3 linked regions of the Schizosaccharomyces pombe genome follow. Changing the gene in region 3 together with the main gene of any one other region gives a genetic interaction. Each region holds a gene or a part of one and is shown on either strand. Other genes may lie near its edges.

Region 1 (5,660 bases), on a different chromosome or scaffold from region 3:
AAACTTCGAGACGTTCTTCATCAAGTGCCGATTCCAATGATCCTGCAGATTTTCCACCACCAGAGTAAAGAGCCGAAGTCATCCTTTAACAAATAATAAATAATTCAAGTTAGTTCGCTTTAACTAACTCAAATGTATGAATTGCCCTCACTAGTTTGTTTACTTCCGTTAGGTGGTAGATACAAGGTTGCCTCGTTTTCAACCTACGAATCCTACAAATAGCGCGCAGCGAAACAACATTTGATCTCCTTCGCTAATTTATTACATCAAAACTATATTAATGTTTACACATAAAGGTTCTTGAATTTTGGAGGAGTAATCAAGTTAAAACTGATACTGTAAACTATTAATTATGTTTTCAAAGGTTTAGCTATATTCTTTTTATTTGATCAGTTTCAGTCTTGTAATTTATAAATTGAACCAATGCATTTTTTAATTGTTATTAAAATTGTGTACTGGCATGTCATGCATTACAAACAAAAATGTTATATATTTATAATCTTCTAATATCTGCTTCTAATGGTTTTACCATGTCAGTTGTACAACAATCATAGAACAGACGGCAAAAGCTTGTTGCAAAAGATAAAATTCAATAGCAGGAGTGACATGTACAACAAATTATGTAAGAAATTGTATGCACGGTAAATTATAATTAAGATAATCATTACTAGAATTTCTCTACACATGGACAAAAACACTTGCTTGAGAAAAGTCTGTACTATAAGTTGAGACTATACAGATTTCAATAGATGAACTTCTTTTCACAAATACTGATACGGCAATGCTTCTGTATCCTTTTAGTTATCGTGTTAAGAAAAGAACCTCATCCACAATTCTATATGACAAGCTATCACTTCAACACTTCTAATTTAACGATTGCTTGTACGCCAAAATGCCCGTTGTATGTAAGCCTTCTGATCCCTCAACCAACGTCGATAGTCCTTTGCATAAAAGTTAGTAATCAGTGTACAAAGTAAATGAGTAGATAACACATATCACATACAGAAAGGGAGTAAATTTTCTCACCGTAATAATCTAATTAAGAGTTAGACATCAATCATGACGCAGCCTTCACAGCATACCTGGGATAGGATTAGAATAGCTTTCCATTTGAGGTGTAACCCTGTTTTTAACCAAGTGACGGTAAAATTCTTGTTCTCTCTAAAAAATTAAATATATTAGAATACTTTCAGAAAACATAGTCCGTAGATGCTAACATAACCCCTATTATCTAAGGGAATGAACGTACCGCTGCAATTTGTCTCGCTTGACTTTTATGAAGCAGTGTCCATATTTTTCTACCTATACTAGGGCCCAAAAGCCATCCAAGCCCTCCGGATGCAATAGTTCCAATAACATATAGAGTAAATAGATCAAGACCCATAATAGTCATGGTAGGGTCAACAGTACGCGTAAGAAAATAGGCGGATCCTAATCCTAGTCCGGTAAGTGCAGTAGGAATAGAAGTTAAGGTTTCAAAAATCCTTCTGCTTTTTCTTAATTTCAGGAATGTGGGCCAATTTAAATCTTGAGGTTTCTTCTGTTTTATAGACTCAGTGGAATAAGTTTTTACATTATAACAAGTTTTCCATAAAGTTAAAAATATTTTGGGACTTTGTAATCTTTTTACAACTAGACCAGGCCGTATAATAGGTATCATAACGAATCCTTGCTTGTTGGAAAATGTATACTTCATATACGTATCGCCTCAATTGCTCTTCTCTTTTTAACGTATTTTGTTTATTATTCCTTAGCAAGCGCGGACGCATACTAGGAAACGCAACTTTTTTTGAAAGTACGCTAAAATAGCTTAGTGAGATATAAATGAGAGTTTAAGTAAATTATTTGAAACAATATTACGGTTCGTGTATTTCGCCATTCTCCTATTTTATTCATATCCTTGAGTCAGTTGCAAGTTTAGTGTATTTTTTTATTAAAAATCCATATTATTATTTATTTATCAGCATTTGAAAGTCTGTCACTTGCTGTTGGATTTAGTATAATGTCTGGGAATTCAGGCGCCTCTGAATCGATTTCTATTGAGGAGACCAATAGAATTAGAATTTCGCTAGGCCTCAAACCCTTAGATATTTCAGAAGAAAAACCTCAGAAAGAACTTTCAGATGCTTCAGTCAAGTCTTCGTATGTCGATCAAGAACAACAGGCCTATGAAAATTGGAAGAAACAAGAGCAGGAGGAAATAAATAGGAAGAAAGAAGAAGAACTGAAAAGCAAATTTGAAAAATTACGGCAAAAGAATGAACGAAGACGCAGAACGCAAGGAAAAACACTCGCTGAAACATTGGCAGAAGAGGATGATCAAATCGATGCTAACGATACTCGAGCGTGGATACTCAAAATGCGTAATTCCTCATTGAATAAAAATGGCAATGGATTGAATTTTGAAGCGAAGAATGACGCCCCCAGAAGATCCACTCTACATTCGCAAAATGCTGGTCCCAATGTGAATAGCTCATTAGAAGGAATGAAAATAGCACACGGTTTTCAAGATTTAAACAAGAACGATGGTCTAGTCCTTACATTGAAAGATGCTGATATATTAGACGAAGATAATCATGATCTATTAGAAAATGTTGAAATGGTCCAGCGGAAGACTAAAAACGAAAGGAAGGAAGATAACCCCTACAAACCGTATGAAGATGAGAATGATTTTCTTCAACAGTCGGAAGCAGATCAACCGTCTGAAGATACTTTTACGACCATTGGTCCACAAAATAGTCTCACTGTTAATTCTACTATAGAAAAACATAAATCTGATAATAAAAAAACTTTTGGGACTCTTGTCTCTTTCGTTGAACCAACTATCACTGGCAGCGAACAATCAGATTATCGACAAATAAAGATTAAGAAGTCAAAAAAGAAAAAGTCAAAGTCTGATCGGAGAAAGCGTCTAGTAGAACTTGATGCAGAAAATGAAAATGAAAATGACCCATCTGATTTCGTGCTACCGAATGGTCAGAGTAACAGTGATCTGTCAGTTGAGCAAGATTCGGCTATTTTCAAAGAACAAAAGAAAATGAAGATTCAAAAGCGTATGCGCGAATTAGAAACACAGTCGTTTGCTGATGATGATGATTTGCAACAGTCAATTGCAATGCAGAGGAGGCTAGCTCAAAAAAGAGCGAAAATACTTAAGCCAGAAGATGTAGCTGAGCAATTGCAGAATGCCGAAGAAGTCACAGATATGACGGACTCGGACACGGCTTCCGGTTTAATATTTGATGATACGCGTGCTTTTGTTAATAGCATAAAGGAAACTGAAAATCGAGAAGCTCTTGGTTCCATAAATGAACAAGCATTTGAAGATTCCAAAGATTTGAACGATACCAATAGTATTACTGGAAGTTCTCCAACTGAAGAAAGTAATGCTTTAGTGGAAGACACCTCGGTTGATATTTCTGCAACTCTCGAAGAAGCCAATACGCAGCAGGAGAATGCAGAAGATGAGCCACTTGTCTCTGACAATGTTGGTGCAGTTCTAAGCCTTCTCCGGAATAAAGGCGTAATTAAAGTGTCGGATGAAGCGAAAGAGAAAATACAAAAAGAAGAAGAGTACAATAAATGGTTTGCCAGAAAACAGCAAGCCAGAGTTGAACTGGAGGAGCAACGTAGAAAGAAAAAAGAACAAGATCGTCTCAGCGGGAAATTTGAAAAAATGACTCAGAAGGAACGTGAACAGTATGCAAAAAAAGAAAATGAAAGATGGGATAAAAAAATTGCGGAGATAGAGCTTGAACAATTTCATGATTATAAACCTCAGGTGGACATAAAGTATGTTGACGAGTTTGGTGTGGAACTTGGTCCCAAAGAAGCATACAAATATTTGTTGTCTCATCAATTTCATGGAAAAGGTTCAGGTAAAGCTAAAACAGAAAAGCGTTTGCGTCGTATCGTTGAAAAGGAACGAGAAGAACGCAAGCCAATTTTCTGAAAGTACATATTTTATGTTTTTATTTTTTTAATTTATGGTTATGTGGTAGTAATAATGCATCATTTATAATTTCATTTTTTGAGTGACTTCTAAAGGCAGACAAAAACGAGGGTCAACGGGTTCTATGTTTGGAAACTGTAATAGTGATAATCCTGCAAGAGAAAAACATGTGTGATAAACGTCTGTGGCATCCTCTTTTCGGTCTGCAAACCCTCCGCTGTCTGCATCTTGTGTACCTAGAAGAAAATCAATAAGCTGATTACGGTCTATCCAATCTAATTTTCCAATAATTGCTAACGGTGAGAGATCCCACCAACCGTAACAGGACTAGAACTATTAGTAAACATGCTAGACAAAGAGCAATCTTCGTACATCAGGTAACTTTTCAGGGCGACCATTTAATCCACCTCCTTTAACTTGCCGTTCACTAATCCACCAACCCAATAATTCTTCATCAATTAAATCTAACTTGTTGAGAATTTTGAGAGCGGCAACACAGGTAAAAACTATTAGGTCAATAATTGGGTTTTGAAATTAAACATACCCATCGCTCCATGTGACTCAGCTCCAGGACAGAGTCCAAACCCACCATCAAAATTATAGCATTTCATTAACCAATCCACGGCAGTATTTTTATTAAGATAGTCCAATTTACCTAGTATTGCCAGACAATTTATTCCAGAATATAGAAATCTAGCGTCTATCTCTCCCCAGCGGTCTCCTTTCATAGAACCATCTTCGTTCTGTAGGCCAATAATGTCTAATTATTTATAAATTAGTTAAGGATCGCATGTACAAATACAAAGAAACTTACAAGAAGCAACTTTATCTTTGTCAACGACATGCAAAGAGTCCAACATTGCTAAAACTTGTACAGCGTATACTGTATTCGTAATGTGATCATCGTGTCCTGGATAACAAGCAAATCCGCCTAACTCATTGTTAGCAGCCCGTATCAATATTTCAGTATCAGTAATATAACTAACCGCTTTCTGTCAAACAAGACAACAGAAACGATACAATACGTTCTTTGTCAATTTGATCTTTCTTCTTCAATAGCCAGAAGCTCATGCAACTCCAATATATTGCGCTGACGTGTAAATGCTCCTTCAACCAGAAATCCAGCTCATCAGTTCGCTGTTTGTAAGAAAATTGAATTATTAAACTATTTTCTTTTCGCTTACATTTCCAATATCGTGTAAGTAACTTATGTGCTTATCTCTCAGTAAAACTGCCATGTTTTGAGCAATTGTATGAACAGGTAGACGGTTCGTTATGCAATGGTTGAAAACTGAGTGTAATGATCAGTAAGATCTGACAGTTCACGATCCTTCCTCTTTTTGAAATTAAATAACAGCTTTAGATATATAGAATGCTTGTGCTGTAATGTATTACTTCCATTTACGAATGTGGTGGAATAGCACATTAACCAACTAGTTCTTCCTTGACATCCAATCGGTAATGAATTATTGGAATAACCATTCCATCCTTTATATTAAACAGAGATAATAATTAATAAATCCATAAGGTTTCATCTCTGACTAAGAACCAAATACTTGGAATTGCTTTGACCTGTGTTTTTCCGAATGCGAGAGTTCAGGCTTATATTCGTACTTCTTTTCTTCTTGCCCTCATTTGCAATAGCAAATACGGAGATTATTAACGTAGAAACTGGAGATTCTAATAAACTGTTGACCTCGAACTCTGT
Region 2 (11,236 bases), on a different chromosome or scaffold from region 3:
TTGGAAAGTTTTTTTACATCCAAGGAGGATCCAAGGCAGTTACACAAGCTATCAAGCTCTTGTAATATACCTTGGTGCAAGTCATTGATATCGGGACGTTCTAAGAGCTTGGGCAAATTGGGATTTTGCGTGAGTACAGTTAATGGATAAAGAGAGAGGGGTAAAGCGAGGTCCTCAATTTCCAAGGGAAGCAATGTATCCAATATTTCAGATGAAATTTCTCCACCTTCCAAAATCTCAACCAACCTGGAAAGCTGGTCAATTTCGAGATTGGAACCAGCAGGAGCTAAGTAAAACGGAGCGCAGTCTCCAAAGAAAAATTCATCTACAGAACGTTGAGATACAGGTGTATGAGTAATGAGAGAAAAGATAGGGTTTTCAGGATATTGGCGTTGCAAAGCTTCTTCAACCCCAATGGCACCAGTAGAGTTATAAACAATACACGTATGCTTAGCAGTGATCACCGGTTCTAATATGTTGGACAATTGAAAATTGCGAGAATTAGGTTTGATTGAAACAAATACATAATCGAAAGGCTCAGAATCAGAGGTAACCTCTTCAAGCTTAGATAAACGATACGTCGGACGGTATTTACGAGTTCCGAATTTTTTCGATTGAATAGTGAAGACGTTAGTAGAAGGCTCGGGGGCATTGAAAAACATTATAGTTTCTTGGCATGTCACAACTGAGCTTTGCTGTAACCTCCAACCTAATAAAGTCGTGATGGAAGGGCTACCAACACACAAAATGCTGACACGCTCCTTTTTTCCTGCGTCAGTCATTTCAGTAGCAAATTAAAAATGACTCTTCTTAAAAAAAAATTATATTTACACTTTAAAAAAAAAACTCAATCGTTGGTTTTGGATTTCTTTTTTCGAGTTGAATTCGTTTGTTAAATCTTTAATAAACTCCACGATTCCATGCAGCTCTAATAACGACTATACTAAAACCGTTTTCACACGTAAATCGAAAGCTTTTCTAAAAGTGATTTATCCAAAGCAGCAAATTGTGGTTTGCTATTTTTCGAAACCGTTTCTATAGGATCACACCGTACAAAAGAGCGCTAATTGTAAATGTATGTATTTGGAAAAGGGAAATTGGTTTCCAATGGAAACGATCGGTTTTCCTTGTGGCTTCTAAGACGTATGATTGTCGGTCTCGGGGTTATGCTTATGGTAGAAGAGCGTGTATGGATATGACAACTCATACCATTCCGCTTGGCACGATCTTCCTTGGAGTGCACTAAAAAAAAACTAAAAAAATTTTGATCACTCGTACTACAAATAATACTTATTTTTATTAATACTTTAAGACAATTCAATTCATTTTAATTTCCTTTTTATTTAAAATGCTATAGAATCAAGACAATACTTTAGGTTCGGAAAGCGAATATATCTAATACTATATGTCCTTGTAAAATTGAATACACCAGATAGAAAGATCTTTATCTTTGTATGTTTAATTAGAAAGAAGACGAGTTTAACATTAAAAGAAATGAATTGAGATGTAGGGAAAGAAAGTGCGTGGTTCGTATGCTCTTCAATGTGAATATAGCGAGTGGTTGTTTGCTAAACGAGGCTAAAAGCAATTTGTGATTGATAAGCGAGTCATGAAATATCAAGTGGTATCAATTTGGAATAGTATAGGAAATAGAGTATCTAAAGTTACAAATCAGGCACTTGCCATGGAAACCGATGGTATTTACATTGATCGATAGGACCAAACAGAAGAAAAGAAAAGAACGAAAAACAAAACAAAACAAATTTAGTGCATAAACAATCTGATCAATTTTTCTTTAACTTTTGAACCTCATAATAGCCTCTATCAACAAACGAAGCAAGTGTAACGCAGCCCCCAAGCAAAGCTAAAACATTACTCAAAAATCCACCAAAGGTATTGCCACGTACTTGACGTTCAATAACACGCATAGGACTAATATCAAATTGAAACCATACACCAGGGATTCCGCCATGAAAGTTAACATGGGTAGGGACTTTTTCTTCACGACCGCCACGAATAGAACGTTCATGCTGTGTGACAGCATATTTGTTTGTGTCTATGGGAAGTGTGCTCTTAGACAAAGGCATGAATTGGTAGGAAACGCACTTAATAAAATATTCGTAGCGATAATCGGCAGTGCTTACCTTTTTCACTGTTCCATCTAAAGGATTGGAATAGTGGACAGACGCATCTAAAGGAGGGCCGAAACTAAGATGATGGATGGAGTGACTCATGTCATGCAAATCGAGTTCATTAATGTAGTCACGTGTATCATGAACATGCTGATTTCCGTTTTGAGTAGATCGTCCAGGAGCAATGTGGAAATTACCGGCCATTCGATTGACGGAGAGCTGACCAGCCAAGTTACAACCTTCGACCTTTTGAGCTTCATAAAGCTCCTTAAAGTTTTCATCTTTACACTGTTTAAAGGCATCAACGTCACCAATTCGCCAGTGTGCCTTACCGTACGCATCTCGAACGGCATCACAGGTATTGCAACAACCTGGGGTATCTTCAGGAGCAAAGTCGGCTGCCCCATAACAATCACCACATTCAGCGGCTCCGTCGTCAGAAATAGATTGTTGATTTCCAATATCCAAATCATCAACGCTTATAATTTCGCCCGAAGGGCTCAACCTCGTTTTAGAAACGGTATGGTGGATGTCACGCTGGAATTCACCACTGACATCCAAGACATCGACAGTAAGTATTTGACAAGGGATACGGGGGAAGGTGATGTTAAAATTGATTTCCATTCGATCGCCATGTGAGGGATTGACGATGATTTCATGGACTGCGATGACTCGCCTGTAATTGATCCATTCCATGAGAACAATAAAAATGACAATAAGTCCGGAAACGAGTGTTATAAGACCGCCACTAGCAGTTTTTATGCGAGCATCTTCGACAGTTTTTTGAAAGGCATCAAAACGCCTAAGGGGTGAACGGAATTGCATTTTTTGAAACTATCGGTCGATAGATACGTTTTTGTAACAATAATACAGAGGAAAAAAACGATTATATGGAGAAGCAGTTCTTTGAACCAACTTGAAAATACTTTTTTTGGATTAAAGGATTAGAAGGGCCCACCTCAGTGGTTCCAACTATGCACGGTTATGTTAGAGCTTTGTGAAATGCTGACCACCAAATCTTATATAAAATAATGTGCTTGAACTTGAAAAACGATCATTCCCAGAATGAAATATTTGGAAATTGTCGAAACAACTTGACTAAGGGGGCTTGAGGTAGTCGGGGAAAGTATACGTTGAGGGTCAACCCAAGCGCAGGACTAGAAGTAGGTTAATAGACAGAGGTGCAAAGAGGGATTGAATTAGTTTGACAGGGATTATGATTGTTTATTGAAAAATCAGATATATATGGGTTCAAATGGAATGTATTCTAAGGGAGCCTAAAAGGCGTTTCAGTTTTAACGTGGAGTTTAATGTAAACGCCGAGGAAAAAGTAGATCAATTAACTAAAAAAGAGAAGACAAATAGTAATTTGAAAGGAAAACTCAGTGTTATTAAGTACAACTCAGTGTGATTGAGTAAATATAGTTCAAGTATAAGTGCGTATACGTTCCAGGTATTATTGTCTTTAAACAAAATCTAAGTATTATTGACTAAAAAACAATCCAAGTACTATTTAGCAAGCACAATCCGAACTACCTATTGAGTTTACACAGTTTATTCAATAAGCGCTTATGCGATCTAAGCACTTTCGAATAAGCGCTTGTTGAATAAGCGGAATCCAAGCTTCTCTAATATAAACCTAAACCAAACACTATGGGATAAACGCAACGCTACTACAAATTTTTTTTTTTAGCATGTCTAATACGGATACCATCAATGTATGACTCAATTTCAAGCATCACCGTCGCCAACACTGTTTAACCAAATACCTTGTATACTAGCACCGCTGGTTTCGTTATGATGCGCAACTAACAAGAAAGATGTACAAGGATGCCTTGTAAATGGGTATTTGGGAGACACAGGATCCGGCAACTTGTGCGATTTGATGAGTTTCCCTTGATGTACATCAGTCATTATCCTATGTCTTTTCCCCATTTTTCGCCATCCTAAAAAAAGCTTAATTCATTATTTGGTCAGCAATCGCAGAAAAGACGCTCCAACACACTCGTGCGTATGGCTGTTCTCCATATTGGGCCAACCTTGTTTCGCTGACTTCTCATGGTGCACTATGTATGCCTAAGTAATTCACAACCATTCACAATACGAAGTGTAAGCACAGATCGGGTTTAGGAAAGGGTAATTGTAATCACATGAGTGCATATCCACACAAATGTCAGAGGAACCTCTCGTTACTCCTTTTCCTCCTCATTCTTTGCCTGCAAGGAGAGACCACCTTTTGCTCATTCCCATCATAACCCTTTCGTAAATGTACTAGTTGGAGGTTCCTCCACCTTTTTTATCGACCAACACTCTCTGCCCATTCGGCCATCCGATATCTACTCGACCGTCGCTTCCAATCTATCTATCCTCATGTACTGCACTTGGCGATCCAGTGGTATGGAATTTCGGAGCTTGATTGAACTTATGGCAATCATCATCAAATCATCAACAGAGAGCACCGAATATTTTTATCTAGGATAACCTGAAGTGGCCCCCAAAGAACCCAAACCCCCACAACCTTCACCTTCCTAAGTAGAGTCCTTCTTAGGTGTACATCCCAATAGAGGTTTTGCAAGGCAAGACACACAGCGCTTGTAAGGTTGGTTATGCTTGTATGTTTTGTTATACTGCACTTGCGCTTTTATTTCCACCGATGCTTTTGTAAACAATTGGACATCATAAGCAAAAGAGTTTTTTCTTTTAAGGGATAAATAATAAATTGAATGAATGGATCCATTCATTCAATTATTTTTTTCCCACTTGCATTTTCGTTGACTAATGGATTCACTGACAATTACTTGCTTGCTAATCAATTTCGGCGATTACACACTGCCTTATTTTCGCATTCCCCCGTCCAGGCGGACTTTACATATTTTACTGAATTTGTGTACAATTGCATTGCTACTGCTGTGTATCTACATTCCGAAGCGATATTGTGACCGTTTCCTTCATCCAAATCTTTTTTTTTTCCTCATATACAACATCAATAAAACGCGGTTTCGTTTTGGTGCTCTAAAACGTTCGTTCCTTCCTTCGCTCTAGTCTGTTGTCACATACTTACATTCCCGATCTACCTCGCGCTTCCTTTCCGGCTCGGTAACGGCAATCAATAGCTTTGGAACGTTGGGTGCTTGTGCCATCGATATCATAGTTAATCAACCTCAAATCAGTGTTTGGTTGCGGTGGTCGTTTAGCGTAGGAAAATTTGTTTTGATCAGTGCAACGATAACATTACGGTAGCGTGATCCAATTTATATACAAGGCAGGCTTTGCGCTCCAATACATACATCCTAGTCATTCATACATAGCGTTTGTTGTTCTGTGTTTATTCTTACTAGTTCTCATTCATAACAGTGAAACCGAAAACACAAGAAAAAGAAAAATATACAAATCCTAGTGTTCCCATTCTTTTTCTTCTCCTTTCTTTACGCCATCCTAATCTTCAAATAAAAGCTAGCTTGCTGCTTTTCTCTATTTTTACCTTATCACATTCTAATTTGCATTCACTATCCTCTACTACGTGCTTTTGCGTGGACGTACGAAAATCTGACTCGTTTGCTCATATCACTCTTTTCCCGAGCTTACATATAAATACACACACACACATTCGTCCCTAGTACGTATACACCAACTTAGCATCGATATTCGTGTGGATTATTTGTTGGCGAAATTTCAAGCTTTCCTCGATTGAAACTAAAATATAAAAAGTAACGGTATACAATAAAGTTGATTTGAGAAACTGTTTTCTAGTTCTTGTGTCTCTTGCTTTTTTTTTTTTTTTCGGTTTTTTCACACTACCATCTTACATATCATTCACATTGTTTCGTCTTACAAAGTAGTGACTATTCTTAAGCTTATTAGCATCCATCATTCCGTTTATCTTTTTTGTTCCCTTTCATATTCCTTTATCTTTTTTTTCCTTCATTTCATTATTGGTTTCTTATCATTCCTCTCATCAACGATAAGATCAGACCTTGCAGGAAAAGTTGCGATTTCTAACCCTACAAAAAGTATTGACTTATTTTTTTTATCTCCTGTGAGACATATTTTTTTTCCTTCTTATTTTTTCCTCCAATTTTTTTTATTTTCTCATATACTCAAATGTTTCGTGCTGGCTTTAAACGCTTTTGGAATCACCCTGCCGGTCCCAAGACTGTTCATTTTTGGGCTCCTGCCATGAAATGGACTTTAGTCCTTTCTGGTATTGGTGATTATGCCCGTTCCCCAGAATACCTTTCTATTCGTCAATATGCCGCCTTGTGTGCCACTGGTGCTATTTGGACTCGGTGGTCTCTGATCGTTCGTCCTAAAAATTACTTTAATGCTACTGTCAACTTTTTCTTGGCCATCGTTGGTGCCGTTCAAGTTTCAAGGATTCTTGTATATCAACGACAACAAAAACGCATCACCGCTCAAAGTGAGCAACGTACCGAGTTGGCCCGAAGCCTTGCTGCATAAAAAAAATTTCAGACAAAACTTACTTTTGTTTCCCCTAAAAAATAAAAAACATGGAAAGGATGAGTGGATGGATATTGGGGAAACAAAATGATCCCTCTTCTCTTTCTTTCACCTTTGTGCCGAGAAAAATAAATAAGGAATAACAGTCCTCCTAATCATCTGAAAAGACATTCTGTTTGGTTTGATTTATTGCATACGTTACTAGCGCAGTCTTCAACAATTTTTCGTATAGATTAAAATTTAAGTGACTTTTTCTATACTTTGTAAAGTTTCCTTTTTCGACAACTTAACCCCTATTTGTCAAACCTTACTTTCTTTTGTTGGTTTGATTGTTATTAAAAAATTCCCAAAAGAGTCGACGACAAGTAAAATTCCTTTTGTCTTCTTGTTTTCACATTGCTTTGTTTGTCCGTCATTTTGTTGAATTGACTTTTTTTTTGCTTTTCTTTTTTAAAGCAGTTATTTATTTGCGGGGATTTTAAAAAAATATCGTTTTTTTCTCTTTCAAATGGAGTTCATGTATTATCGGTTTTGGGGTATTTGTCAGGTCGCTATTTCTTGGGAACATACTATCAGATTATAAGCAGAAGTGATATATTTATGAAGGAAATAGTTTCTGCTAATTTATAGGCTTTTCTCCCATTCTTTTCCGTTGACCTATTTATGTACTGCATATCGCAACCCGGGCTGTCTGGTTAAATGATTTTGTATATTACAAAGCATTTCCTGCCCCTCCCTACGAGTGCACTTTCGTTTCTGTCTTAAGTATAACATACTCGGTGTTTCATATTTTATTTGAAATGCCTTGAAAAAATTGTAAAGGTTTGGAAATAAGATCCTTATGTTGATTTTATTTGGTTATTTTGCTTTATAAAATATGCGGTTGGGTGAATGCTCGACATTAACCTTTAATGAATTGAAAAGGGAATGTTTTTATAACTAAATTGGTGAAATTTTAAGTTTCGGATTGTGATTATTTCAACCGCTGGATTGGGTTTTGTGTCTGTGGTACTTGTTCTTTCATGTCGTGTTGAAAAGTTTTACTACATGTTATGTTTTATTTGAAATGAACTTTTAATAATTAATTCTATTCTTATAAAATACTCTTTAGGTCAGGATTTTTTATTTTTTTTACTGTCATACGTCTGGTTGATAGGCGAAAGTGTCTTCCGTTCCAACTTCACTTTTTAGTAATAGCTTATTTCTGTACAATAACGGTTTTTGCTTATTTATTTTTTTTTTAATATTCAGTTTGCTTCAATCCAAATGTGCATCGTGGATTTATACTGAAAGCATTAATAAAGTAACTACGTAATAAGTATTTGTTTACACAACCTTTCAGCATTTGTATGAATGCTACCTACTACTTATTATTCTGTGGATATGGAGATTCTACACGACTATTGTTGTTGTTTATGCCGTAAATAATTAACACTTATGAAATTTGAATTTTTGTATATTTCCGTGCCATTTACCTAAGTATATAATAATCACGAAAATGTATACAGAATAGAAAATTTTTGTAAAAATATGATTTAACGGAAGAAAACTATAAGCAAAACATGCGACAAACAAAAGAAAGAGAGTTTAATCAAAGAATGACATACCAAAATCAAAAGTGGTGGTGGTGATAAATAAAAACAAAGAGAAGCAAGAAAAAAAAAACAGTAACCGTGCTAACAAAATCATATAAGCTCTATGCAACGCCAAAGTATTCTGATAGCATGCTGTTAATATACAAACTATATGAAAACATTCGGAAAAACAACAAGGACTAACCAGACATTAGCCAACCGTATTAGTAGAAAAAAATGCATCTACATTACGACACACTGCTCTTGCTGCTTTTTTTTAGGTGCCTTTGAATGTGTTTGCTTACTAGATAAGGCTTGTTCTTCAAGGCGCTTTTTGGCCTTAGGGAATCCTTGCTTTGCTGCACGAATGTACCAATTATGAGCAGAGGATGGATCAGCAGCAACACCAATGCCTTGTTCCATCATAAAGCCAACAGCATACTGAGCTTTAGCCAAACCTTTGCAAGCCGCTTTATGCGCCCAAAGTAAAGCTTCTTCTCCATTCTTAGGCAAAATACCCTCTGAACCCGTTAAATACCAACCGGAAAGTCCTAGTTCTGCCTCGCCATAGTCTTGTTCGGCAGCACGCGTGTACCAAAAAATACTGCGTCGAGGTTCTGCTAAACACCCTAATAAACCGTGTTCATAGCACTCCCCAAGTTTACACTGGGCGGCAGCGTAGCCATAGACAGCTGATTGTTTGTAAAGTTCAAACTTTCTTTCAGGGGTTGCAGATACTCCGTAACGATCCGGTTGCTCATAAATCTTTGCAAGTTCATACATAGCTCTAACTGATTCGGGCCCCTTAGACTTACATGCACGTTCGAGCCATTGCACACCGAGAGATATATTGCGTTTTTGCCCTAACAAACCATTTAAGTAAATCAGAGCGATACGAAACATAGCTTCGACTACATCCATTTCAGCTGCCTTTTTATAGATGGCAACGCACTTACTAGTGTCCGGCTTAACCCCGGTACCAGTTTGAAGACAAACAGCAACTCTGTAATTACTCAAAGGATGTCCTTTTTTAGCTGCAAGGCTGTACAACTCAAATGCTTTTCCCAAATCGCGTCTAAATCCTAATACCCCCTGACTGTGAAATTGTCCTATTAAAAACAGAGCTTCGGGTACAGTATTCTGGGTTTTGCTAGGATAAGCATTCTTTTTTAAAAGTTCAACAGCTCTGGTTCGATAAACATTGATTCGAGTATTATAACTAGCCTGGTCGGGAGCTAAGCTCGGCTTGTTTTCTAAAGTTTCTAATGCATTCAAATAAACTTTTGCCAACTCAACTTCGTCATCAGGTGTGATTTGAGATTTTTGGCGAAGACGCTGTTCTTCTTGCATAGCGTCTCCGTGCGTCACAATTTTTGGTGACGGAATCATCAACTTATCATCAGGATGACAAGGAATCGCATCCTTCGTCTTTTCTTTTGCTTCTGCACCCACTTCAAAAATAGCGGGTGAAGAAGCATTACTGTTAGACATCATAGATATATTCCTTTCAAACTTGGAATTAGCAACCTTGGATGATACATTAGCAACCGATGTATTTTTGTGATTACCAATAGACTTATTACTTTGCTGTGGAATAGGGGAAAACGAAGGTGTCACAGCTAAGTTATGTGAAATCGGTGTGCTATCAGCACGCATTATCGGGGAAGAAACAGAAGGGAGAGGACGAATGTCAGAAACTAACCCATGGGTTGTGTGTACCGGAGGAATTGGCGATAAAGGACTTGTTTGACCGTGTATAGAAGTAGGCATTGGTTTAATTGCCTTAGGACGTGCAAGGTTTGTAGGATATGAAGGTAAATTATTAACAGTTGGGTTTGTGCGATTATTATCATAACCTTCGGGAGAGTTATTATTCGAGTTCCTCGAAACATTTCTACGATCAAATGTAGGAGCAGGAACCTCAACTGGAGAACGAGCTGGTAGCATTACCATTTGAGAATGTGGATAACGAGGTGGTTGTTGAAGTGTAAGCAAATCATCATTTCGAGGATTTTTCAAAGTTTCGGATGATTTTAAGTCATTAGAAACTGAAGGAAGCGAACGTTCATCGCTTTCTAACCCGAATGAATCTGTATTCGAGTCGGTTGATGAAAAGTGACTTTTTGAAGGGAGGTGTCCAGAGTTTTCATAAACTGGTCCCAAATGACGATGAGCAGGTTCTGCATCTGACGAAGCATTAGAAACTGTATTTGTGATGGAGTCACTTTCTGCTCCATCTTCTTCCTCCAAAGTTTCTATTCGAGAGTTACTCTTAAGCTGATTGTCTTCAAGTACAGTATCGTCATCCTTGTAATAGTTATCTAAGAAGTCATCAAACCCACCGTATGGTATGTAACTCATACGACGCTGTACACGACTTATAGAATTAACACGTGGAGGTGCCATATATTTTCTATGAGGATCCGGTTGTCCAATCTCATCCTTTCCATCATCTAAATTGGTCATTGGCGTTGGTCGCGGAATAGAAACCAAAAAATCTTCTTTCTGCTCATGATTTATTTGTATTGGGGCATCTTGCCGATCCAACTTTAAACTAGGTGAAGGCAAAATAGGAGAAGCCTGTCTCAAATTAGTGTTCAGCTTTAACCCACGGTTAACTACACGTTTGCTTGTAGGAGCAGGTGCAGCTGGAATTTTATACTGTGGCTGTGGCTCCGGCTTGACCGGTATGGTTGCACGCGGCAATTTGTCTTTGAAGGTATCTTCACTAACAACAGGCCGGGATATTTTTTTCTTGGAGAATTTCAATGCTGAAGGTGGAGTACCCATTGTAGCGCTCATTATACTAGCCCTGTTCGCGTCAATCCTTGAAGACAGGTCCAAAACATTCGTATACACTGGTTCATGGCTCAATGTCGGATATCTCGATGTAGGACGAAATTGAAGAGTAGGGGAGGATGAAGAAGCTGTGTTACCGCTTTTTAAAAAAGCTGGGGTACCCTCTGTTCTTTTTCCATTATTCGTTGCGAATACCAACTTTTCCTTCTCATACTTCCTCCGAGAGCTATGTGAATCTTTCATTAACAGATTAATTTACGAGTGAAATAAAGA
Region 3 (10,765 bases):
GTAAACATTTATTTTTCTAGTTAGGGGAAGATGAAGCAGGACTTTTCTTCTTTAATGTCTTCAATCTTCCAATAGTTTATAAAGAAAGCTTTTTGACATTGTTTCTTTTTAAAGCGAGGGAATACCTTTTATGGCCCTGCCACCGTCTATAACGTGATTTGTTTGTTTCGCTAAACGCTCTTAGGAAAACGGAGCTATCAGAGTGACATATATGACTTAACGAAGCTGTGTATGGCTCATGATCACTATTTAGAATTGAATGAAAACAACCAATGTCAATCACAGTGTCGAAATGCCCCTTGAATTCATTTAATCTTGAAAAATCGCGTTGATTAAAGTTGACATTACTTTTTTCACTAGATGTTTTATCGATTGCTTTAGAAATAGCCCTTTCGGAAATATCAATACCCACGACTTTATATCCAAGACTGGCTAAATATCTAGCATTTCTATTTGGTTCACAACCGGCATCTAATACATTCTCATGTAATTTCCCCAGTTGTACAAGATTCATGATCTATTCGTCTGGTTTCTCATTATCAAATGGTGTTGCGGGATCTTCATACATATTTTCCCAACTATTTTTTACTTCAGAGATATATTTCTTCATTGTTCTTAATGATATATAAAAAATGGTGAAATATTTATTTATTGCCCCATCATGTTTATTTTTATATCCTTCTTTCTCTGTCAGGAAATCTATTTCCGAGCTGACGATAAAAAAACATGTTGCAAGTCGCCGAAACTACCTCGGCTTTTATTACTATGTCCGAAAAGTGCGCGAAATATTGGAATGGCTTGTAAATTATGCATTTAGCCAAATAAAGTGATAGTAAGCGCAAAGTGTATGACTCAATGAAAATCGGGTGTATCAACTACTCAGTTGTTTACCATACAATGTATTGTAAATTATGGGTAGTGTCGTCGCTATTACATTTAAAAAATATATTATATTGAAGGTATCTAATAAGAAGTAAATGTTTTTCTGTGTAATAATAGTGAATTCTTCTCATCAAAAATATAAACGAACTGATTTTTCGTCACCTTATTAGGTTATACAAAGTCATAACAATGCAAAACCAAAGCGGATAGCATATCAAACTAAGAATATGACTTGCTATTAAAAATTAGTTTCGCTTGAGTTTTATTTTAAGAGTAGTAATAGTCAGAATTTATTGTGCTGATACACTTCAACTTACTTGATTAATAATTGAAAAAGAGAAATTTACAATTGAAATTGAAATGGATGGATTTGAAACAAACCATTCGTCAACATCACCGCTACTTTAAAAATGCTACTGTACTTGCGAGTATAACTACACAAAAGTACATATTTAAGCGATTGCATCAAGTAATGTCATATATAGAAATACAATAATATAAACGGAGCACAAACTGAACCTCGTTCTTGATATATCAAGTCCTCTTTATTGTACCATAATGTTGTATGTCGTTGTGCTATATTTTTTTGTAAGTTACAATCATACTGATTGGCATAGCTTCTGCTTTTAACATAACGGCGATCAAGCCATATTTGATCAGGTTAGGCAGAATTCCAATGATTGCATTAGAAGGTTTAGATCTTCAAGTCAATTTTACGATTACAAGCAAAGGAGAAATAGCAATCAAGCCAGTATCGAATACTCATTACACGTATATAGCAAGATACTATGGAATTGTTATCGTGATATGAATCTTGATGGTGGATTATTATAGCCCTGGTGCAGATCACTAATATCGGTTTTCGAGTAAGAATGATTCTTGCTTTCTGACCTAGTGACTTTCTCAATAGAGAAAAGTATAATGACTTGAAATTTAGAAAACGTTCTAATGGAGTTAATGGAGTGAGTTCTAATGAAACGAGGAAAAAATTTGTTATGATATACTACGACGCATCCAAATGTAAAGGATCGGAATTTAGATGAAACCGATGGTACTTCCGAGTAAATGTACCAACAATATAATAAATAAATCAGCAATTTTACTGCTAGACAATATTTCACTGTGAGGCTTAGTCTTGGTATAAATAGAGGGACTCTGTCAAAACAAATATTTTGAACTAGACTCGAATTCTTCATAATTCTATTCACTTGAGTGTTTATTTTTTTTAACAATGCCATTACATTTACGAGATATGTGGATATCCACTGACGATTATAAGGATGTTTTACTTACGTGTCCTGTGTGGTATGAAATTAGTGAAAGAGAATTAAATCATGCTGTTTGGGGACAATATTAAAATGGTGAAGTTATAATGAAACAGTTGTTGGAAGCGATTAGTTTCAAAAATTAGCGACTCGTATTTTGTTTATTATTATTATTATTTTTTCTTTTTTTTTTATTCGCTGTTTTAAAATTGTTTCCAGCAATCTTCTTCCTGTTCTCTTTTTATCCGTTTGACAACACATTTTGCTAATGCTTTTTTTTTTTTTTAGTTCAAAGAAGACTGGTACGAGAAATAAACAAGTTCAGTAGTTTCGAAAGCAATTGGCTCTTTCTTTTGTTTTTAGTCCGAGTATGTCGTCAGTTGAAAACCGTAACGGTTCTCATTGTGCCTGTTCTTCCGGTTTATACGAATAAGGTAAGAACATTCAAGAAAGCGTTTGATATGAAGTCTGTTCCATTATTGCTCTTAGTGCCTGACAAACGTTGTTAGTCTGTTTTGAGTTTACAAGTTTGTTAAGCTAATAGCCATTCATTGATCTTCATTGTTACATGCTTTCCATGGAATAGTTGGAGGTGTTTACTTTTCAACTTGTTAGCGATCGCTTGCTAACATTTTTAATAATAGGTACTTTGTTGTTCTCAGTGTGACTGGCACGAACCAGCAAATGTTTACTCGATTGAACAAAGGCGTAGTCATGATGATGATCTTCCTACCATTAAGGGTTCTGATGCTAGTACTCAACAGTATGAAAGAAAAACTTATATTACCGATGCTAGTCCCGAATCTCAGAATCTGTTTTTAAGCAAAAGTAAAGAGGAGGGAGTTATCTTCTTATGCATACAAGTAAGCTTTTAACCTTGATTCTATTTATTCACTTTTACCATTTACTACTTTCGCAAATTCCTGTTTTTTGTTGGGGATATGAAGGGGAATATAAGGGTAAAGTAGATGAAATGGATGTATTTGAAAGTTGATTTGGATTCGATTTATTACTTTGAATCCCCGTTTATTATTATACGTTTATGTCGTTTTAAAGAAAACCATGCGATGTACTATATTAATTTTGTAAAATATATATTATAGATAAAAAAATTGTTGGGAAAATGGGAAAGCAAGTTGAAAATAATTAAATTCAATAAATTAGCAAAATATGTTTATGAAGGTAACCAGTTTTTTCTTTTTATTTTTTTTTTGTCTATATGTCAGATTCGCAACTTTTAAGTTTGAACAAAACATTATTTCACATCGACTCAAAGGTTATGTGTATTTAAAACGTTCCAGTAAAAAAATATTCATTTGTAAAAAATAAATAGGTGGTATATTAAATAAGAATGAACTTACTACACAATTTCTGTGTAAAAAAGTGAGATTAAAATAACTGGATATTAATCCATTGATAAACAAATAATAAATAAAATAATCCCGGTAACCCCTTTAAAGGTGAATCAAGTAAACCATGGTTTTTGTCAAATCATTTTCTCTTGAGCCTCTTCAGCTACATTTCGATTGTAGGCAAGTGCTTCATTATGGGTGGGAAACATTATGTAACATGGAAAAGCAATTTTCTCCATAAAAGTGAAAAGATCACCAATGATCACCGACAGTCTGTAATCAAAGTTTCCAAATATAATATTCGACAGGTAATGCAACATTGGAGATGCACAGAATATAAAGATAAATGCATTTAGCATTCTTCTAAAAAATCTGGCTTTTGAAGCATTTTCGTAAGTTGTTACAGACGTGCATTGTTTCAATAAATGACAAATAGAATACACCCAAATTGCAGGAGATACCTCATACTGGATCATGTCAAAAATCTCTGATACTACATATACGTCTTTATATAAAGAAATCCAGTATACAGAACATAAAGCAATGACAATACTAATTCCTTTTATCATAAGATATTTAGGAACAGTTCTAGTTATGCCGAAACCCAATGCACAGTAAATCACAAATAATCGATAAAAATTTGTCCGAAGAAAATCAATTATTTCATACACCGAATAAAATTGTCTGTATTTTATACATTCGGAAGAAAAAACATACTCCTCAATGCATTCTTGTAGAGTCTGATTTAACGCAAAAAGAAAAATATAAAGGCAGATTACCTTTTGAGCAGGAAATATAATCTTGCTGAAATGTAAACAAGTCCATATCCAATAGCTCAAAAATAATAGTACTCCTCCCATTTCAGCTACAGAAATATAGTTCCAAATGCCAATTTCGTCATTATTAATTTGATCTTCTGAAACCGAATACCCCATAAGGTCTAAATTAAATTCAGCTCCATCCATTGTCATTGGTCTCGCAGCTACGCAGTAAGAACCCGTTTCATTAATCAAAATAGTTTTCCATATACTTGTAATATTTTCGCCCGTCCATACCGATTCCGAGTTACCAGAATATGCAAATGATCCCATCTCTCGGTTTTGGGAATTAAATTCCTCAAAAAAAGATTTTTGGATCACCGTGTCTCTTGATTTTACAAAGTCAATCATCTCCTCAACTTGATCATTCCAGCCAATTATATTTTGCCATTCATTTGCTTCAAAAAAAGACAAAGCAATTTCTCTTTTATCGAAGCTTTGTGCAAAAAAATTAGCATGTATTCTGGCACCGTTAGATTCCTCCACAATGAACCAACTGCACTTAAGAGTGAGCTTTTTGGCTTCTTTAGGCAGTCCATTATGGTTTGACAAGGTAGAGTTTTCCTTTTATGTAGTAATAGATACTGCTTTGGCGTCTACTTCACCTTTAACTAGAGTATGGAGAACTAGGTTGCATAACAGCAATGCTAGTGTTTTATGAAGACGCATCTTTAAAAAAGTTGGTAAATGATGCTTGCTCAAGGGAAAAGCAGATCAGGAATGATTAGCCTTTTATATCTTTCGTTTTGGAGTTACCGTGCTCCACGTTGCATAACGTTAGCGTTAAAACATTGGGAAGATTGGAGGGAAAAGAACACAAATAAATGGTTTGTTCACGCATCATACCTTTACTTCAAGATTTAAATTGTACAAGCACAAGTTACTGAATATAATAAAAAATCTGTTAAGTATGGAACGTGAAAGATAAAGTCATTCACCGTTGACTAGTTCTATTCCGTTAGTACTCGTACTTCATTCGATGATTGAGTTAATAACGCCGTTGGTAATATCCCGAGAATACAGAAGCTTTTTAAAAGAAAAATATAGCAAAAAAAAAAAAAACTGGTAATGACCAGTGGATAAAGAGATAGCATTCGTTTTTTTTTGAATTTAGCAATTATTAATTTAAAGCATAGATTGAAATTCAGCATGTACACTACCAATCTTTTTTTTTTTTTTTTAATTTCAATAGTTTGTTTTTACGATTGCGAGCAAGCGCCAGAACAGATTATAACGTAGAAAATTCAATTCGTCTAACTTATGTCCTGCAATATTTTCGCTTAGCAAGCATACACCACACCACCGTCCAACCATTATCGACCTAAAATAAATTCTGTCATTCAAGGTTGATCACTCCTTTTAGGCAAGATAGATAATAAGACGATTTGTTATAAAACTTTCTTTCTCAAATTTTTCTGGTCTGTCAACCATTTAAAAGTAGTCCAAAGATTTAGAATCTTTTACTGTTTATTCAAATAAAGCTGTTTAGTATTTTGTAATTTGAAAATTAGAACGATATCTATAATCACTAAGCGAATAATCACTAAACGAATTATATTTCAAACAAAGCCTTAAATTAACTCGAAGCATTTTCGTCATAAAAAATTGAAACCAAATTGTTTCTACTAACAGATAATGAATAAAACTCCTTTCCTGTAGTGAATATGACGCTGAATTTTGGGTTAAAGTAGATGAAATGGAGTTTTTGAAACACAAGTGGGAGTCCAAATTGGTTCAATTCGAAATTTTTTATTTAATATAATATATTTTAAGCTTTTAAAAAAAAAATATATAAAAAAGTCATTTTTAGTATTTGAATAATTATGAAACGAAAGATAAAAACATTAGTTACATTAAGTGATAATATCTTAATTAAAACCATAATTTGGTTTGGTTCCATAATTGAAATTCATAACGAACGCACCTTATGTGCATGATTTGGACAGGACAGTCAATTCGAACATTGTTAAGAATAGTTATATTCTATATGATCATGAAAACGATAAAGAAAATTATTTTTTCACAGGAGTAGGCATATTTTGTAGTTCTATTTGTTCAATATCAGAACCAACTGTTGTTTCTGAATGTAATGCTGTTTCTCCGTTATGTGTAGGAAGAGTGTTAGAAACACAGACGTCTCCTGGTGTCACAATTTTAAAGCCTAAAGACAATATTACAAGTTTGTAAAGAGCCCAATGACCAAAATACAAAAGGCCAGTTATAGTTGCACCCAGGGCTGCTATAATCATTCCCAAGACTGCTATAATCATACCCAAGACTGCTATAATCACACCGGTCACCCGTAAAGCAAGTACCGCAAACTCTGCAAAGACTATTTTAAATTATTAGCAAAAAAAAAGAAAAAAAGCATCACTATAAAGGAAACATACAAATTAAACTAAGTAACATTAAAACAAGCAAACAAACGTAAATAGCAATAGGCACCCAAATTTCACTGTAGAACCGATTTTCATTTATCCAAATTGAAAGAAACTTTTGGACTTCGAACTTTTTGTCTACTGCGAATACAATGATAATAGACCAAATAATAAGCAAGGGCCAACGAAAATTACTGCGGGTAGAAATCCTTCCATCAGGATAATAGCTATTGTGGAATTTAGAAAATTCAGTAAAAAGGTCATTTAAAAACTCTTTTATTTTATTTGTTTTAATATTCATCTTGTCTTTTTGAGGCTTAATGGTGTTGGTAAAGAGGGATTGTCGGGATTGTCGAGATCGTTGAGATTGTTTGTTTACCTTTTCAGGCTTACACAAATCAAGTCCCTGCTCTAGGTCCACATTACAAACATCTTCCACCATAAATAACTCATTGTAACCAGGAGGTTCAACCTGTTTTTTCAAGCTTTCTGGATTTGACATTGGAATAGAACGACAGCACTGTAATTTGATGACTTCTGATTCACTAGTATTTTTCCCCAAAGTAAAATTAAAAAGAGTGGTTTATGGAAAATAAAAAAGAAAATATACTAAAATATTTTAAGCCATAAACGAGAAAATTAAAAAAAAAAAACCAAAATGGTGAATGTTTTACGTTCTGAGGTGTCTCATTTATTTAGGAAAAGCATTATGATGTTGGCATCTCGTAATCCTTACAACTTTTTTCTTTTCACAATTTAACAGCTACGCAGTTTGGTATCTGTTTAACGATACGTTTAAGTACGATGTGTTTTCCTTGTGACCTAGTATATTACAGTACACAGTAATACAAGTAGCATCTGCTATTGATATTTTTATATATGAATTAAATTGTTACCTAATCACTAAAGTAGCTGTAGCTTATTGCTGAACCTCGTTCTTTATTTTTCAGTTTTTCTCAATTTATAGCATTTAAAAATTTTTCTAAATATCCTGCATAATTAGTAATATGTCTATCTCTATAACTCAGAGTGGAAAGTTAATAGAGCAAATATAGAACACTTGACGTATGGTGTTATTCAACGTAGTAGTATTTAGTAGTATTGTTGACCTACATACATTGTATAGGAGATTATGCTTAATCCAGGGGATCATACAAAGGATTATCCTATAACCCTTATTTTCGTTCCGCAGTAAGTAGGTGTTTGTATGCTCTGAGGCTTAGTAATATATAGCGATCAAGAGAACGTCAATATCATAGAAATTTGGAACTATCTTCATCCTCTTTTTAATATTTTACCGATGAGATTGCTATTATTAGTTACGTTGCTATCTATCGTTGGTTACACTAATCAGTTGCTTTCCAACTGACCTCGAAGACGCTCCAGCTGTAATCTGGGTAGCCCAATTTCCTCCAGATAACACTACACAGCACTATGAATTCAGATATATCGTAAATGAATTATATAATGCTAGCAAGATGACTGCATTAATGAACCATATATATATCGATAATCCGCTTATAAGCAATTCAACTAATAACGTTACTCACGAGTTATTGATTGATCTCCATGAACTTTATAATGACGGAGAGATTTCCAGGATAGTTCTACTCAGAACTTTGGTAACTCAATCTGCGGATGATGCTACATGGATAATCAACTTGACAGATGATGTGCTTAATGGATTACCACTGCTGAAGAAGCGAGACCGATACACCACACAATGTCATAGTACAAATATGGCAAGCACATATGACTGTGACACTGGAGCCAATGCTGTTGGAGCCCGAGGTGGAGCCACGTTAGCAGCCGACTATAGAGGTGATTGGGGGGGGTAATGTTATACAAACCTTTGGTAGTAAAAGCGTGTCTTACTGAGATCTAGCATGTGATGTTTTGGCTTATTATCGATGATTGTTCTCAATCAAGAGCAAACACCCACCCTGAAGTATCAGGCGTTATACCTGGTTCTGCTGGAATGCGTAGAGTATGTGTTAGTGATAGAGGATCTGGGTGTTAATATTGCATCCCATTGTCCATAATAAAGATCAACACTTGAAGTTTTAAAACAATTAAAAACAACCCAAGTTAATTGTGTAAAGTTTAAATTGGAAATGTAGCATAGAGGGTAATACCTACGATAAATGAAGAAAAATGAAAACTTATAAGGATTAAGAGAAGCATTAACTTCATTGTCTTAATAGTATAGCGTAACTGTTGCAAGATTGACAGCGATATGTAAAAGTAGTATTTAATACAGCAGTTAAAAAATGTTCAGTCCCTTTAATTCCGGTAAAGCATTCAGTCATCCTACTAAGGAAAGATTCACAGAATCGACATATTGATTGTTATTCCTTCCAACTGAAGCGGCAGCTGACTTTGTGTACTACTGGTGGACTGAATCTATCATGATTAACAATTTCTTTATAAAGTATTTGACATTCAGTCATAAAAATAACAAAAAAAATTGAAAGAAGCAAACCGTTACATACATTACATACATATTCGATAAACATGGTTATATGTCGCCATTTTTAAGCTTGAAAATGATTACATGTTTAACTATTGCTCTTTGAAACAATATATTTTGTCGGTTTTTTATTAGTAGCTAGTATATTTATGTTTAAATTTCAATAATATTTCTTCATTAATTTATTTCAAAAAACCTAAAAAAAAAAGCTATACATCTGTTTGCTCTTATATCATTTCATTATCTAAGTACAGCTTAAAAGTTTCCATTGGAAACTGAACACTATCGATATTATTTTTAGCTACCGCTTTTCTGTTCCTACATCATTGAAAGTTGACAAACATTCAAAACGATAATACTAAAGTAATAACACGCACACTATATTATCAGTAATGTTGTTTTATTAGTATCAGCTAACAATAGTAAACGTCAGCAATATTACTACACTACACTACACTACACCTTGATATACTCGTTGTGCATCACCATATGCCATACCTAAAATACCAAGATTTCTTCGCCAATAATTGCGGAAGGCTACATGTCTATTTCAAAAATACCCATTGAAAGCGACTATTAGAAAAGATCAGTAGAACTCAATATTTTATCATCACATATATTTACAATTTGATTATTTCGTATACTATACTCTCATATTATCTGTAGAATTGTAATGCTCTACTTCTACAACGTATTATATCACTGTGATTTATTGCTAGTACTACTCGTACCAACAACTTCCAACTCAGTACGATACTAGGAATCAAATACTGCAATTCAACCTTTCTTCATACTTCTCTATTGTTTTGAGATTAGAACTACATTTGTCACTTATGAATTATTCCAAAACAGTACGCAATACTACCGTATTGATTGATGCCTTTGACAATTAGGAATCTCATTGAAGTAAAATTTAGAGCACTTATTGATTGTGAACGACGTAACAATATTACTGGTCATGTTAGTTTTCGATCTTTTTCCGGATTGACATCTTTACCTGCTTGCAATTTACTTAACGGAATACCATACAATCACTTTGTCAAGCAGAACTTGATGCGATCTGTTGAACTAAGCAAGCGTGGGACTAGCGACATAGATTATGAATTCTTCTTAGTGCATTGACGATTGCGCCGGAGATGATTGTTATTTTACATTAGGTTTCATGAATACATGTATCTGCAGAAATAAATCAGAATTATATGTCTTCTTCAGCAATAAGTACGAATACTGATATGGAAATGTTTTTTACTGCTTTCCACATCATAATTGTGCCGGTATTTAAGATGCACATAACTAAACTTATTAGATCACGGGGACACAAGTCTGTTGTTTTTATCCGGCATATTCAGTAAATACGATGTATGTGCAATAATATTAAAGAATAAGCGTTTAATATCAATTGCTATCAATAACCAAATAACAATTCAAAAATCAAAGCTAGTAATTGTATAAATAAAATAATGATGAACTACAAAATATGGTAGACAGTAATGAATAATAGTATTAGCATAAAAAGATCATATTTTACGAATCAATTAATCGTATATGCTCGTACAAATATTACTTATGGAACTAGCAACGCCGCTTTGTCAACTACGGT

What was found.
Region 1: mutations in SPOM_SPBPB2B2.19C (region 3) and snu66 together harm fitness more than expected from each alone (negative genetic interaction), as found in Schizosaccharomyces pombe (one large-scale study listed by BioGRID).
Region 2: mutations in SPOM_SPBPB2B2.19C (region 3) and erv46 together harm fitness more than expected from each alone (negative genetic interaction), as found in Schizosaccharomyces pombe (one large-scale study listed by BioGRID).

Annotation. Positions count from the first base shown.
Region 1 is NC_003424.3:1,553,132-1,558,791, forward strand, and holds snu66 (U4/U5/U6 small nuclear ribonucleoprotein complex subunit Snu66), read left to right. Parts: upstream 1-1,867; 5' UTR 1,868-2,002; coding exon 2,003-3,952; 3' UTR 3,953-4,015; coding exon of another isoform or gene 4,016-4,279; 3' UTR 4,280-4,324; coding exon of another isoform or gene 4,325-4,458; 3' UTR 4,459-4,496; coding exon of another isoform or gene 4,497-4,712; 3' UTR 4,713-4,766; downstream 4,767-5,660. Other genes in the region: protein Dbs2, read right to left, coding at 1-82; putative TIM23 translocase complex-associated motor subunit Pam17, read right to left, coding at 870-941, 1,004-1,035, 1,083-1,161, 1,250-1,660; geranylgeranyltransferase type 2 beta subunit Ptb1, read right to left, coding at 4,016-4,279, 4,325-4,458, 4,497-4,712, 4,767-4,883, 4,939-5,089, 5,137-5,190; GPI-mannosyltransferase II complex subunit Pga1, read left to right, coding at 5,539-5,660. UniProt on the Schizosaccharomyces pombe protein: Required for efficient splicing of pre-mRNA.
Region 2 is NC_003424.3:210,250-221,485, forward strand, and holds erv46 (COPII-coated vesicle-associated protein Erv46), read right to left. Parts: upstream 3,275-11,236; 5' UTR 2,958-3,274; coding exon 1,785-2,957; 3' UTR 1,465-1,784; downstream 1-1,464. Other genes in the region: SPOM_SPAC24B11.07C (oxidoreductase), read right to left, coding at 1-782; pyruvate transmembrane transporter Mpc2, read left to right, coding at 6,234-6,590; cfh1 (chitin synthase regulatory factor-like Chr3), read right to left, coding at 8,408-11,206.
Region 3 is NC_003423.3:4,500,277-4,511,041, forward strand, and holds SPOM_SPBPB2B2.19C (transmembrane helix domain-containing protein), read right to left. Parts: upstream 4,669-10,765; coding exon 3,634-4,668; 3' UTR 3,389-3,633; downstream 1-3,388. Other genes in the region: ftm7 (transmembrane helix domain-containing protein), read right to left, coding at 1,680-2,120; SPOM_SPBPB2B2.18 (uncharacterized protein), read left to right, coding at 2,416-2,449, 2,511-2,581, 2,792-3,010, 3,251-3,388; SPOM_SPBCPT2R1.01C (uncharacterized protein), read right to left, coding at 6,330-6,649, 6,708-7,197; SPOM_SPBCPT2R1.02 (uncharacterized protein), read left to right, coding at 8,174-8,533.